4 linked regions of the Canis lupus familiaris genome follow. The protein of the gene in region 3 purifies or fractionates together with the protein of the main gene of each other region. This does not show direct contact. Links are inferred from orthologs where the notes say so. Each region holds a gene or a part of one and is shown on either strand. Other genes may lie near its edges.

Region 1 (3,500 bases), on a different chromosome or scaffold from region 3:
CATGTTGTAACTGAAGTCATCAAATAGTATATAAGTGAACTTGGTGAAGTATCAGCTACAAGTATCTTCCCACGTCTTTGATGTCCTTTGGAATTGCTTTTCTGATTTGACACCTTTGGCATTCAACATCTACATCTCTCCTGTCATCTCAATCCACTTAATGCCCAAATTCCATGCAGTTCACCAGATCCTATGGCTTCTATCTTAATCCCTACCCAACCCCACCTTTCCAATCCTCTGCTACTGCCTTATTCTAGGCCCTCAGTATCTCTCACCTGGATTATTCCAACAGTTTCCTAACCAAAGATATACTCTCAGTTTCCCTAAGCTGTCCTTCACAAAGTGGCTGAATGATCATCTGAAAATGTAAATTTGATTGTTAGGATCCAGAATAAACAGAACTCACAACAGTTGCCCACTACCCTAACAATTTAGTCTAGTCTCCTTGGCAGGGCCTATAGCGTCTCCAGGATCTGACCCCCTCTCTAGTCTCACCACTTCCTATGTCCTACTTCTCTGTCACATTTTATGCTCCAGCCATGCAAAACAAATTCCAGGTCTCCCAACTCACCATGTTATTTCATGCTTGCCTAACTTTGCTTATATTAATTCTGCTCTCTGCCCAGATGCTCTTCCTAACTAACTACCTTGCCTCCCCACTCCAGGAGCCAACACTCAAGAGTGAGATCAAGGGTCAACTCTCTCAGGAGACCTTTCCTCACACCCTCCACTCCCCTCAAGTATATTTAACTACTCCAACCTTTATGCACCTCTTGTCCTCTAGAGTGTTGGTTATCACACACCTAACATTCAACACAATGACACTAATGAGATACTGCCTTACGTAGGAAATAATTTTGCCTTTAAAAATCAAAAATAGAGTTACAACAATTATTCAAAGGCTTCTATTCCAATAAGTCTGCCATGAAATAATGATACCAAAAGCAGATTTAAATGATTTCTGAGTTTTCCTTTAGTTTAACCTTTCCATGTTTCTCTTTCTTTTTGTTAGTTGCATAATTGGAGAACTGACAGTATTTTCTGTATCTCATATGACCCAGCAATTACAATTAGCTTGTGAGATCCCCAAGAGCAGAAATTCTTTCTTCCTCTCTTTATTTCTTACTCATCAGAGCTCAATACAGCACATGATAAGTATCAGCTCAACTTCCTTTTACTTACTTGGGTAAGACATGATGGTCAACAAGGATAAGGGTGAGTTGGCCAGCCTGGTGCAAGGCGTGGAGGTCAATCTCATCCCGGAAAATCAAGAGGGACTCTGGAATGTGAATCTTCTGAAGGAAGAAGACATTGTCACCTCGTAGAGGTAGCTCAGAACGATTTATATTTAAAACTGGCACAAAGACTTCCTCAGCCTCTGTTGTCTGGATAAGGAAAGTGAAAAGAACACAGGCCAATGTTTTGGAATAAATAGGAAAAGTAACAAGATTATTGGGACCAAAGGAGATATGATCTTGGGTAAGTCGCTGCCTTTTTCAATGCCACAACTACCCAATTGGTAAAAAATAAAAGGACATCTCTTGCCCTCTCACCTTAGAATAACACCAAGGACAACAAGATAACTCATGGAAAAGACCTAGCTCTTTTCCATGAGCAGAGAAAGGATTATCCATCTTCAAGAGCTGACCTGGGCATGAGATCGCTGGTACCCAAGAAGAACTCAATAATAAACTGTTTGAATTGCTTTATGACTTCAATTCTTCAAAATAGGGATGCCTGGGTTGCTCAGCGGTAGAACGTCTGCCTTTGGCCCAGGGCGTGATCCTGGACCCAGGATGGAGTCACACATCGGGCTCCCTACATGGAGCCTGCTTCTCCCTCTGCCTATGTCTCTGCTTCTCTCTGTGTCTCTCATGAATAAATAAATAACATATATTTTTAAAAATTCTTCAAAATACTTCTACTCATTTCATCCCCCCAGCAACATTGCAAAATAGTATCATTTCTGATTCTATAGATGGTGACCTGACACTCAGCAAAGTTAAGGAATTTAACTGACCCAAGACTAAATAGTGTCAAGTAGCAGAGCTGGGTCTTGGACCCAGATCTTTTCATTCTAGGGACTCTGCTGCTAAGTACTCACCTTTGCTAGGTAAAAAGCCAAGGCAAGCGCTGACACCATGGAGTCCAAGTCACAGGCTTCATTTCCCAGCACAACATGCAGCGGCCGGGACTCCTGGTGAAGGAGAATGGGACACTAGCAAAGGCATCTTTATCTATTTCCGTTTACCTTATACTTGAACAGGGCTTCACACACGTTCTCACTGATCTTCACAGGGGAGGCAGGTCACATAATTTTATGGGTACTCATTTCACAGGTGAGGATATTAGCTGAAAGGCCCCCTGTGTTCAGCTAAGTTTAAGCATTCCACACATATCCAGTAAGTAGAAAGTACCTGTCTCCTTGATTGTTAACTTAAAATAAAACAGCAGCAGGGGTGCCTACGTGGCCCAGGGCACCTGTCTTCGGCTCAAGTCATGATCTCAGGGTCCTGGGATCAGCCCTGTGTTGGGTTCCCCACTCAACAGGAAGCCTGCTTCTCTCCCTACCTCTCACCTCTCCTCCCCTATACTCATTCTCTCTCTCTCAAATAAATAAATAAAATCTTTATTAAAAAAAAAAAGAAATGCAGTAAATAATTCTCTCACTTCTTATGCTTTTTTGGGCACACAAGAAATCAAAGATAGAGCAGCTGGGTAGCTGACATATTCAAACCAGATCAACCTGTTTCTTGGGGTTATTTGCTCCCCTGTTTTCAAAATAGGGAAAAGCATCCTTATACTTCTAAATCATGAGAGGTGAAGAGCTCTTGAAAATAAAGGTAAAGGGGCACCTGGTGGCTCAGCAGTTGAGCATCTGCCTTCGCTTCAGGTCGTGATCCCAGGATCCTGGGATCAAGTCCCACGTTGGGCTCCTCACAGGGAGCCCGCTTCTCCCTCTGCTAGGTCTCTGCCTCTCTCTGTGTGTCTCTGAGTAAATAAATAATCTTAAAAAAAAAAAAAAGGGTGTGTGTGGGGGGGGACACCTGGGTGGCTCAGCAGTTGAGCATCTGCCTTTGGCTCAGGGCATGATCCCATGGTCCCAGGATCAAGTCCCACATCAGGCTCCCTGCATGGAGCCTCCTTCTCCCTCTGCCTATGTCTCTGCCTGCCTCTCTCTGTATGTCTCTCATGAATAAATAAAATCTTAAAAAAAAAAAAAGGTAAAAATAAAATTTAGTCCATGATCCAGTTATCCAGTCCATGAAAACTCCTCCAGCCCAGAGGAGCCTCAATAATAACCAAATATAACCAACTCTTACTACCCAGGCTTGGACACTCTCCCCAGCAGGTTCAGATTAAAACAAGAACAGTTGCTGCTGCTGGAACTTTTATTTTTATAGCTTAGTTTTATAATTCATTATTATTTTTAAAGTAATCTCTACATCAAATGTGGGGCTCGAATTCACGAGCCTGAGATCAAAAATTGCATGCTCCAC
Region 2 (3,500 bases), on a different chromosome or scaffold from region 3:
TTTCAATTAAATGTCAAGACACATTACAGGATTTAAACTAGACTGCTTTGCCTTAAGTATTTAACACAACATATTTATAATATCTTTGATCTACAAAGTACTCAATAAATATTGACTAATTAATCCCCTTGCCTACAACCAAGCCTGTATTTAAATGCTGATATCTGGTTTCTAGTCAACAACTGAAGAACTAAACCATTAACACCTTGACCAAGGTCATTATTCTGAGGCAAAAGTAAGCATTTTATGAGAATTAAGTAATTTTTTTTTTCATTTTTTTTTTAAATTGTGATCATGTACTATTAAATTCATAAGCCTCTTGCCAGGATAATTCTCTTCCCTGTTCAGGCTAAAAGTTTAACTCAAAATGGCAGGGAGGTTCTTAGGAAGTCAAAAGGATGAACGAAGCTTATAGGACCAGAGGTTAAAAGTCACAACACAAATTATAGGATATCAAAAAACCAACCATGATTCAAAGAAAAAAAAAAGAGTACTCATGCCTCTTCTACTGCAAAACAACATGGAAAAGAAGTCCCCCCAAATACAATTATTCACTGTTATTTCTTCTGATGGCACGTTATTACAGAAACCAGTTCCCCAGCCCCCAAGAACTATACAGGATGAAGTACAGTCCGTCCTGTGTTTTACTCCGTCCTGTGTTTTACTCCGTCCTGTGTTTTACAGTGCATGCGTTCATCAATGGAGGCTAGCTGAGCACCACGTGGGTCCTGAAAACATCTCCACAGCGCGCAGGTAGCAAGATTACCTTTCTAACATATGATGCAGCATCCTCCTCCGTGTAGACTTCGGCACTGATAGCACCTCGTCGCCTCCGGCCCTTAACCACTGGGTTGGGTGGAGGAGGAGAGATTTCATCCTCCCTCGAATCTGCACGGGAGCTTGCTTTCTGCAGATTCTGAATCTGTTTTGCCTCCTCCTGAAAAAAATTACCAGTTTATAAAATGAGATCCTTCAGAGGTAGATTTGGTATTCTCCTATCCCAGTGAGAACCAATCTCCACTTCAAATCTCTTCCTCTATTACCAATGTGAAGGGGGGAAAGGCCAATTCCAAATGCAAAAAAGTAGAGTCAAGTCTGAAAAGAAATACTCTGAAAGCACTCTGTTTCCTCAACTGATTATAGATACTATACTTAGTAATAAACAAAAGCCATTAATACAAAGAGACATACGATGCAGATAAAAAATTACTCATTACCGTAATATATTGACAACAATGCTTTGTAATGCACACAACTAATAAAACTGCAAAACAAAATCCTGGAGAATTAGAGTTTTTGTATACTGCTACAGATAGCATGAAGCACGAAGACCCCCTCCAACACACATAGATACACACATCAAAAGAATGTTACCTAGAAATAACCACTCAGGCACAGCAAAGTGATACAAGAATGGTATCTGGTCACTGATTTAATTAATTAATTAAGTGTTCTCTCTAGATCTGCCATGTCAAGTTCATGCTAGGAAAAGACAGTATCAAAACCAATAGGAGTGTCCTAAGCCTGTGGAATTCATATTCTTAGAGCTGGAGACTCAGATAGAAACAAATAACAAAAAATGATGTGATGGTAACCAAGAATTTAAATAAAATCAGATCTAACAATACTTTTACCAACAGAGCTTAGAAGCCTTCTTTATTATCAGGGTTTACACCAAGATTAAAACCAAGAACATTTACCGGTTTTTAAAAACTCATTAAATCAATTCATATAAAAATGGAGACAAACTCTTTAACACTCTTATTTTTCAGATCCAGGGCTTAAGAAGAATTAGCTCTGCAGTAAAGAATGAGTTACTAAGCCTGACATAAAATAAGAATGTGTTCTCTACTATGTTCTCATTCATCTGACTCATTTCCAGTATTTTTCTAAACCGTCTTTCAAATTCTAAATGAACTTATTAGCATTTACTGATAATTTCAGAAAAATTTTTGATAAACAAGAAATTTTTAGTTTCTTTTAAATTAAAAGAAAGGTGCCTGGGTGCTCAGTTAAGTGTCAGACTCCTGGTTTTGGCTCAGGTCATGATCTCAAGGTTGTGAGGTTGAGTCTCGGCTCCCTGCTCAGCAGGGAGTTTGCTTCCCCTCTCCCTCTTCCTCTGCCTCTGCCCCTCCCCTTGGCTCTCTGGCACTGTCATGCGTGCATGCGCACGTGCTCTCTCTTTCTCAAATAGATAATCTTAACAAAAAATTAACAATAATAAAAGAAATTAAGGGGATCCCTGGGTGGCGCAGCGGTTTGGCGCCTGCCTTTGGCCCAAGGTGCGATCCTGGAGACCCGGGATTGAATCCCACGTCGGGCTCCCAGTGCATGGAGCCTGCTTCTCCCTCTGCCTGTGTCTCTGCGCCTCTCTCTCTCTCTGTGACTATCATAAATAAATAAAAATTTTAAAAAAAATAAAAATAAAAAAATAAAAGAAATTAAGGAGATACCTGCTCTTTCTACTGCCTCGTATTTAGCCCTGCTTTTGGCATCAAGACAAATAAAAGAACTTATATATGCAGCAACGAAGTCTAGAATGATAACCATCAGCATTCATTTCTATTAGTAGAATCATGCTTGATAGCCTTTTCCAGAGGGAAAGTTTGGCTTTATTTTTCTCATTTCTCTGGACTGTCTAACTTTCAAGTAAGAAAAACATATAACAAAAACAATTTTAATATATTTGTCTACTGAATTACAAATGGATTTACTTCTTAACCAAATAATCCAATAATCCTACTTCAGGGAATTTATTCTAAGATATGTATATATGGGATAGAACATACAAAATCTTGTAATATATACAAAATTATTGTTTAGAACAGTAATAAAACAGTGGAAACAAATAAAATGGCCCTCGACGGAATGATTAAACTATCTATTGTATCTAGCCATACAGTACAATACCATGCACCTGTTGGAAAATAAGAAGCTCTTTTATAAATGAATTTGTAGGTAAATACCTATATCTTATCTATGGAAAACTCACTGCATTCAAGGAAGACAACAGCGTGGGAAGGAGATTTTTTAAAATATCTTTATATACTATTATCATACATTCTTACATATATAAAATATATTTTATATATTATATGCTATATTGCCCCCATGTTTGTATAAAATGTACTGTATTTCATTGTATTTTATTATGTCACACCCTTTTGTGCCTGTAAAATTTTGAAACATATGCAAATATGCAACCAATTTTTTAAAAATATATTTTCCAGAAAACTCACTTCATTTTCATTCTAGTAATTCCAATGACCAGTAAGCTTTTCCCATTTCATACTAATACAGAACTGTAAAACTCAAGTTTCCCCAAATTTAGTTTAAGACCATAAATAAAAACATTCTACCCCCAAAAATCTGTAATTGACCTTTCATAAAAATTTCATGAAAAATTACACAAATAACATCTCACTTGAAACTGTATCTAAATGAATTTTTAAGATAATTTTTAAGTACCGAAAGCATTTTGATTTTTAACTTCGTTTCAT
Region 3 (3,500 bases):
TGATGCCAAGATTCCACAGTTACAAGTGTTGCATGTCACTGTATACATAGCCTTTTAGAGGCCACTTTAAAAAGCAACCTAGCAGATAGTTCTATGTGCAGATAATAAAGATACTTATAGTACAAAGAAAGACCCCAAACCAAACATTTATGAAAATGGATACTTGTAGAATTTCCAGTAGTGGCTTCATATAGATTCAAAAGGTGCTTCATATCAAAAAATTTAAAAATAGCTCTACTGATGAGAAAGAAACAGGTGTAAAAGATGCATATAAAAAGTATTAATAAAATTGTTTTATGAAATTTGAGGTTAAAAAGTTCCTGAATATTAATTTTATATAATGCATAATTTTATTTATTTTTTCATTATTTTAAATACATTTGAGTTAACCCAAGAAACCCTTTTGGGATCTTTTTTTTTTTTTTTCTTTTTCTTTTGGTATCTTCTTAATGGGAGAGTAGAGTATCACTTTATATTCATGGATTATCATAGTATATATTAAAGACTGAAAAGAGCTAGACTATAAAATATTACAGTGATTAATTCAAAAGCTAAAAGTGATCATTTGGGGATTGTGATTTTAATGTTCTCTATACTTCTTTTGCATCTTCAACATTTTCTTTAATATATATAGTGCTACTCTTAAGACAAAACAGTAAAAACTGAAAATAAAAAAAATTTTTTAATGACAGAGTCACAGAATCTGCTCTAGAAGAGTCTAACGTATTACCAAATTGGAGTAATCTTATCTATAACATTTGACATCATCCAGCTTTTTCCTAATACAGAGACTGGTATTTGGGGATGGTGGTAGGATGGAGTGGGGAACAACAAACAACAAAAACAAAACCACACACACAAAAAACAACAAATAAAAAGCACAACAAAGAAACCTGTTCCACTGTTAAATAAGTGAAAACTTTACTGATTCATCAATAATTTTATTTAGTCTCTATCTATGCCAGGGGCTGATATCATAAACTCAAATATGTACTATTCTCTAATTTTTTTGCTACTACTATTTTCAATTTTATAATCAGGAGAAAGAATACAGGTCTACATCTTTCTTCAGAAGATAATCTATGAGGTATTTTTACATCATTCTCAAAAGTTCCTTAAGTCTTCACTTTTCCAGGAAGTGGAATTCTGTTCCTTTACATACCCCACCTGCTATTTGATAACATCTTAAAATGGTATAGCTGGGACCTAAAACAACACTCCAGTGATTTCTGATCAGCCCTAAACAGTCAGAATTAATCCCAGGATATCTGAACATTTTTTCCTTTATGAATGTAGTTTCAGACTGTATCAGCACTACTAGTAGTTACACATTATTGACTGCTTAAGATTATAGTCAATGGAATCATCCAAGTCTATTTTGCCAGTAACTGAGGTCTTCCACATCTACTGCTTAAGCAATACATTTTCCCACTTTCAAATTTAGAAAAGTTTAAATATGGGGGGGGGGGGGAATTCATCTTAGAATAAAGGAAATATAATTATTTCCTGGTCACAGAGAGCTTTCCATCTCCCTTCTATATTTTAAGCTTGACTAAGCTGACCAATCAATCAATTGACCACTTCTTGCTTGTTTTATCTATAGGAAATTGTACACTTTTAATGTGCAGTTTATGAAGAAAATCACAGCATCGAAGGCAGTGTAGTTGATTAAATGAATTACTTAGGGTCTTAATCTGAAAGGAAAGAAAAGTGAACACAGAAGTAATTAAGAAACAATGATTCTTCCTGGGTCTTTTAGAAAGCACCAGTACACAAACTCTGTTTTTTCCTCTCAGTATTTTCTCAGAAGCAGCCATGGTGCCAAGCTCCACAAGGGAAGAGAATTTCTCTATCTACATCTCTTATACAAGTTCTAAGAAAGACAGTTATATAGAATTCCATTGTTTCCTTCTGTTTATAAGTAAGATATCTGACTTTATACAAATACAGTCACCACCAATTTCACCAATTGATTTCCAGGTTTAAAAAACTTAATATAAACACTTGGAAAAAAATAAACACTTGGGAAGTAAGAAATGCTAAAATTCTAGTCTCAAATACAAACTTGAGGGTTAACTTAATAGTGAAATCTCTATAACTTCTCATGTGCCAAGATTTATTATAATCTGCCAAAAATGAGAGAAGCTATGTCTACTGGAAAAAATTTTATCTGCCACTATTTTGTTTAAAACCATACAAGTAGTAGCCTAATCAGTTGTTGGAAGGGATGTTTGCTACCTGTATAAGTACTTAATATGCCCACTTTCGTCCTACAGATTTTAATTAAAAGAATATAACCTCACACAGATAGGTAGCTTTCTCAGAAATGGTAAAAAACAGAACTAAGTATCTGGAATTACCTTGAGTGGTGAAGTTGAAGAGTGCAGGTGTGTCTCGCCCATTTGGTAGTTTGACATTTGGGTCCCTTAATTCATCAAAAAATGAATGTGCACAAGCTTCCAGTGGTGTCAATCGGGCAGTTGGTGTATACTCCAGCAGACGGCTACACAGTGCAATTGCCTCCGGTGGAGTCCGGGGTCGGAAGACCTGCAGTACAAAAAAAGGTAAAGAACAATTAATGCTTTATTGTAAGAATCTTAGCAAATTATCCTTTGAGTACTGAGTTAATTCCCACCACGTACAACAACATGGTTGCATTTGTGAGAGGAACCTTCTAGAATGAAAAGAGTTAACTGCATATGATTCACTACATTGAGGTGAACAGCTAATTACAAACTATATGAGGAAAACTCAGAGAAAAAACTAGGGGAAATTAAAAAAAATCTACACTTGCTAATCATAAAGCAGTACAATGAAATATGTACACAAAATAGGATATCATAGGCACAAAGAAAGGCTGGGTTCTGGAGGCAAGCACCAACTAGAAGAATATTAAAATTTTCTAAAAGTTTTGACTACTGTGGCAGTAGAATAAAAGATTGCCTCTTGTGTGTGATTTTTAGCAGAACAACTGTCAGTAATGGACAGCACTACTCAAATTTGGCAATCAATATTTTTTTGGGGAAAAAAGCTATTTACTTTAGCTTTAGCAATGCTAATGATCTGCTATTATCTCTTCAATAAACAGTCTTATTTGAAGAAATTCTTGAATACCCAGAATTTGACAAAATGTCCAAAACTGTTTTCTCAAAGAGTAGCTGTTATTACAAATATGGTCAGATTACCCTCATTTGGATGAATATTCTAGGGTTTTAATTAGGGAGAGAGAAATGTACTTTTCATTAAGAGCCATTAACTCTAGAAAAAGTCAACTGAAGGCTGTGCTGAAGCAAAATTCAAATAAATTAGTTTGCTTAAAAGAATAGAAAGCTTTCTACACATCTTTACCTTAAAACTCCAAATCAATACACAGAACTATGAAAATAGCTTTGCTCTAAATTATAGACAGTTGAAGAATAGAATCAGAAAGGGGAAAAACAAATAAACATAAACAGATGGACAGAAAGCCTTTGAAACTAAAGAAAAATGAAACATATTCC
Region 4 (3,500 bases), on a different chromosome or scaffold from region 3:
TATTTTACATGATTGGCTCAGAATTCAAGCTCATGGGGAAGGAGAAAAAGAACCAGGAATTGGCCCATGAAGGAAACAGAAATCAAAACCATAACCAGGGCACCTGGGTGGCTCAGGTCATGATCTTGGGGTCCTGGGATGGAGCCTGGTGTCCAGGCTCCCTGCGCAGAGAGTCTGCTTCTTCCTCTGCCTTTCCATTTTCCTCCTCATACTCAATCTCTCTCAAATAAATAAAATCCTATAAAAGAAACCCATGATGAGATACCACCTGTCAGAATGGCCCAAATCAACAACACAGGAAACAGCAGGGGTCAGCGAGAATTTGAAGAAAGAGGAACCTTCATGCACTGTTGGTGGGAATGCAAACTGGTGCAGCCACTCTGGAGAATAGTATGGAGGTTCCTCAGAAAGCTAAATATAAAAATACCCTATAATCTATCTTCCAATTCCACCTCTGGGTATTTCTCTGAAAACAACAACAACAACAACAAAAACCACTAATTCAAAAAGATACATGCACCCCTCTGTTCACTGCAGCATTTTGTACAATAACAAAGTTGTGGAGCAAACCTCAGTGTCCATTCAGCTGTCAATCACTTAACCAACTTAAGCGTCCATCAACAATTGAGTCGATAAAGATGTGTATATCTTGCCATTTGTGACAACATGGATGAACATATAGGGCATTATGCCCAGTGAGATAAGTCAGAGAAAGGCAAATACTATGTGATCTTACTTCATAAGTGGAATTGAAGGAAAAAAAACAACCAAATTTACAGAAAATGAACAGATTGGTGGTTGCCAGGGGGTCAAAAGGTTCATACTTTATACAGCATGGTGACTATAGTTAATGATTATAATTATTAGCTATAGTTAATAATACTGCATAATAAGTACATATTTAAAAGTTGTTAAGAGAATAAATGTTAAAAATCTTCATTCGAAGAAAAGACTTTTTGTAACTCTGTGTTGTGATGGATGGTAGCTAGACAGAGGATTGCTATGGTCATTTCACAGCGTGTACTAATACCAAATCCTTGCATTGTATACTTAAAACTGATGCAATGTTGTATGTCACTTAAACCACTATTTTATTTTTTTAATGGGAAAAAAAGAGAGCCAGTCGACTGGAATCGTAAGAGATGAAGTAGAGTCCCTGAGGCTGGAGGGCAGATGGAGTGGGATTGAGGTCATGCAGGAGCTGGGTGGGAGGAGAAAGCAGGGTGAGTGTGTGCAAGAGTTCTTGGGGGTGAAATCGCTACACCCATTCCAGAGTTGCCGGAGATGCAGGACCCTCAGGGGTAGATTGTTCCATAAGCTTGATGCACTGATAGTGATTGTGGTGCACACGGTTCAGGGAGGTGACACGCCGGTCTTCATCCCAGGCAGGCCTGCAGACTTAAGTCCCATGGTCTCAGCCAAGCAAGCGGGTGATTCGGATAGGTGGAGGTGAAGGTCCTTGAGATCCAGGTGGTCGAGGAGCTGCCATGTGACCTAGTAATTAATCTGTAAATAACAAGCTCTAACAGCATGTCTTACAACTTTTGTACTATTGAAATGGTAATGAGCATAAATGGTATTTTAAGATAATTTGCAACTACAGTAGGATATGAAAACGCTGTCCATGGATGCAAAGTAAGAGGATGACAAATACAAGTGTTGTCATCTGTGTTTGAAGAGAATGCTGAATTTCAGTTACAAGTTAGTAAAAATAAAAGTGAATTTTCTTCACCCAAATTCATAGACCCTCTGCATTCTGTCATGATCCTCCAGTTAAGAAACCCCAGTGTAAAGGACGGTGTATTCAGCAGGCCTAAAGCTGAGTGAAAAGCAGTGTTTTCTGCACGAGGCGGAATTGATGGTTTAGGAGTCGGGGTGCCTCAGGTGTGCCTTCCTGAACAGCCAGGCAGTGTCCTTAGCAATAAAAAGCCACATTTCTAGTCAAATCAGAAAAGCCAAGGGAGAAGGGAGCCTGTGCTCCCACAAACAAGAGGTTAATGGGAGTGTGAGAGGCACGGCAGGAGCTGTTGGGGTGCCTGGGTGGATGAGAAAGGTGAGCGAGGACAATGTCAGGATGGCCGGATGAGGTGATGTAGCTTCCAGGTCCTGGACACATTTGAGACTGAGGTCTGGGCCATTGGGACAGGCCCTTTAGAGCCATTTGGGTGGTAGTGACCCATGGTCTTTGCTGAGCAATCCAGGTAGAGTCCTGCTGAGGATACGTTGGATGGCTCTGAGCACAGCTGGGGATGGAGGAGTGTGAGGTCAGGTGCAGACACCGGACAGCCAGGGGCACTGGTGTGGTTATCGCTTATCACCTGGTGTGGTTTTTCCGACTTTGCCTTGACTCCTTGGTGCCGAACAAAAAATCAGCTGAGGGTTGGTGAGTAGAGAGAAACTATAAGAGGCATTCTTTTTTGAAAGACCACACTTCCCATCCTTTCCCATAGGACAGGTTTGGGAGGGTCTGCCAAAGTAAGAGAAATAACAAAATGAATTTAGGGAATCCTGTGTATCTGTTCAGGGGTTTGTAAGACAAGATAGACTTTGAATTTATGTGACTTAAGTGCAAAAGAACTTGGTGTTTCTGACCGGGTAACCTATTAGTTTTGACCAGAGTTTAACACCTGAACTCTGTACCTGGCACGGTCATGTGCATTTTATTTCTTTAAATTGAATGAAGAGTTTGTTAGCAGTAGACTGACCATGTTGCTGTTTGTTTTTTCTAGGAACTAGCTCTTCGTAGCCAGTTACCAACACTGGAGCAGGATGGCGGGACTCCCAATCCAGTGCCTTCCCCCGGGATGTCTCAGGAACTGAGGACGATGACGACCAGTGGCTCGGATCCCTTTCTCAACAGGTGGGTGAGAGCTGCTTGTGGCTTTCACGGGCGTCCCCTTGGGGCTGGTCCTGACCCCATGAGTAAGTAAGTACCCTTGGGGGCCAGGCACTGCACTGTGAATGACCCTCACCCATGACAAACCCTGTGAAGCTCCAGCATTCGAAGCTGGCTCCTGTGGGAGGACCTGGGCCATGGGGACTTATGGGGGACTTGTTCCCAGTCATGTGTTTGCTTCTGCCTGCGCTGTGAAGCAGCGCAGTGATGTAATGTGGCAGAGTCGTGAAGGAAGGCATGCAAGGGGGTCGTCCTCTGGAGCAGCCCCAGTGATGTGGGACCTGGTCTTCCTGCAGCAGCTCCTGAAGGCCACATGTTTTTAAGGACTGTAGCTTAAGGACGTGAAATGTACGGTGGTGCCTCCTGTAGACACACTGCACAACAGGCAGGGGCTTGCAGGTACTCTTCAGTGGCCTCATGGAGCTGTGGTGAAAGCTGCTCACCCACAGGTCCTACTCCTAGGTTTGATGACCATTCATCCGTTTAGGTTGTAAAATGTTCATGGAGTTTCAGTTTGTTAACATATGGAACAAATACTTTCTTGTCTGTACTTTTTGGTTTTCGGATTTTTTTTAACTAGTTTTAAACAATGCACCTTTAAAAA

Evidence for each region.
Region 1: the proteins of GSK3B (region 3) and PRUNE1 purify together in Homo sapiens (affinity purification with mass spectrometry; 5 studies listed by BioGRID and IntAct, with this or other methods). This does not show direct contact. The link is inferred for Canis lupus familiaris from reciprocal best matches to the Homo sapiens genes GSK3B and PRUNE1.
Region 2: the proteins of GSK3B (region 3) and PRKAR1A purify together in Homo sapiens (affinity purification with mass spectrometry; 3 studies listed by BioGRID and IntAct, with this or other methods). This does not show direct contact. The link is inferred for Canis lupus familiaris from reciprocal best matches to the Homo sapiens genes GSK3B and PRKAR1A.
Region 4: the proteins of GSK3B (region 3) and YAP1 purify together in Homo sapiens (affinity purification with western blotting; 3 studies listed by BioGRID and IntAct, with this or other methods). This does not show direct contact. The link is inferred for Canis lupus familiaris from reciprocal best matches to the Homo sapiens genes GSK3B and YAP1.

The regions. Positions count from the first base shown.
Region 1 is NC_049238.1:60,769,075-60,772,574, reverse strand, and holds part of PRUNE1 (exopolyphosphatase PRUNE1), read right to left. Parts: intron 2,198-3,500; coding exon 2,105-2,197; intron 1,386-2,104; coding exon 1,183-1,385; intron 1-1,182. UniProt on the Homo sapiens protein: Phosphodiesterase (PDE) that has higher activity toward cAMP than cGMP, as substrate. Plays a role in cell proliferation, migration and differentiation, and acts as a negative regulator of NME1. Plays a role in the regulation of neurogenesis.
Region 2 is NC_049230.1:11,735,377-11,738,876, forward strand, and holds part of PRKAR1A (cAMP-dependent protein kinase type I-alpha regulatory subunit), read right to left. Parts: intron 938-3,500; coding exon 767-937; intron 1-766. UniProt on the Homo sapiens protein: Regulatory subunit of the cAMP-dependent protein kinases involved in cAMP signaling in cells.
Region 3 is NC_049254.1:24,131,286-24,134,785, forward strand, and holds part of GSK3B (glycogen synthase kinase-3 beta), read right to left. Parts: intron 2,548-3,500; coding exon 2,361-2,547; intron 1-2,360. UniProt on the Homo sapiens protein: Constitutively active protein kinase that acts as a negative regulator in the hormonal control of glucose homeostasis, Wnt signaling and regulation of transcription factors and microtubules, by phosphorylating and inactivating glycogen synthase (GYS1 or GYS2), EIF2B, CTNNB1/beta-catenin, APC, AXIN1, DPYSL2/CRMP2, JUN, NFATC1/NFATC, MAPT/TAU and MACF1.
Region 4 is NC_049226.1:29,541,054-29,544,553, reverse strand, and holds part of YAP1 (transcriptional coactivator YAP1), read left to right. Parts: intron 1-2,729; coding exon 2,730-2,860; intron 2,861-3,500. UniProt on the Homo sapiens protein: Transcriptional regulator with dual roles as a coactivator and corepressor. Critical downstream regulatory target in the Hippo signaling pathway, crucial for organ size control and tumor suppression by restricting proliferation and promoting apoptosis.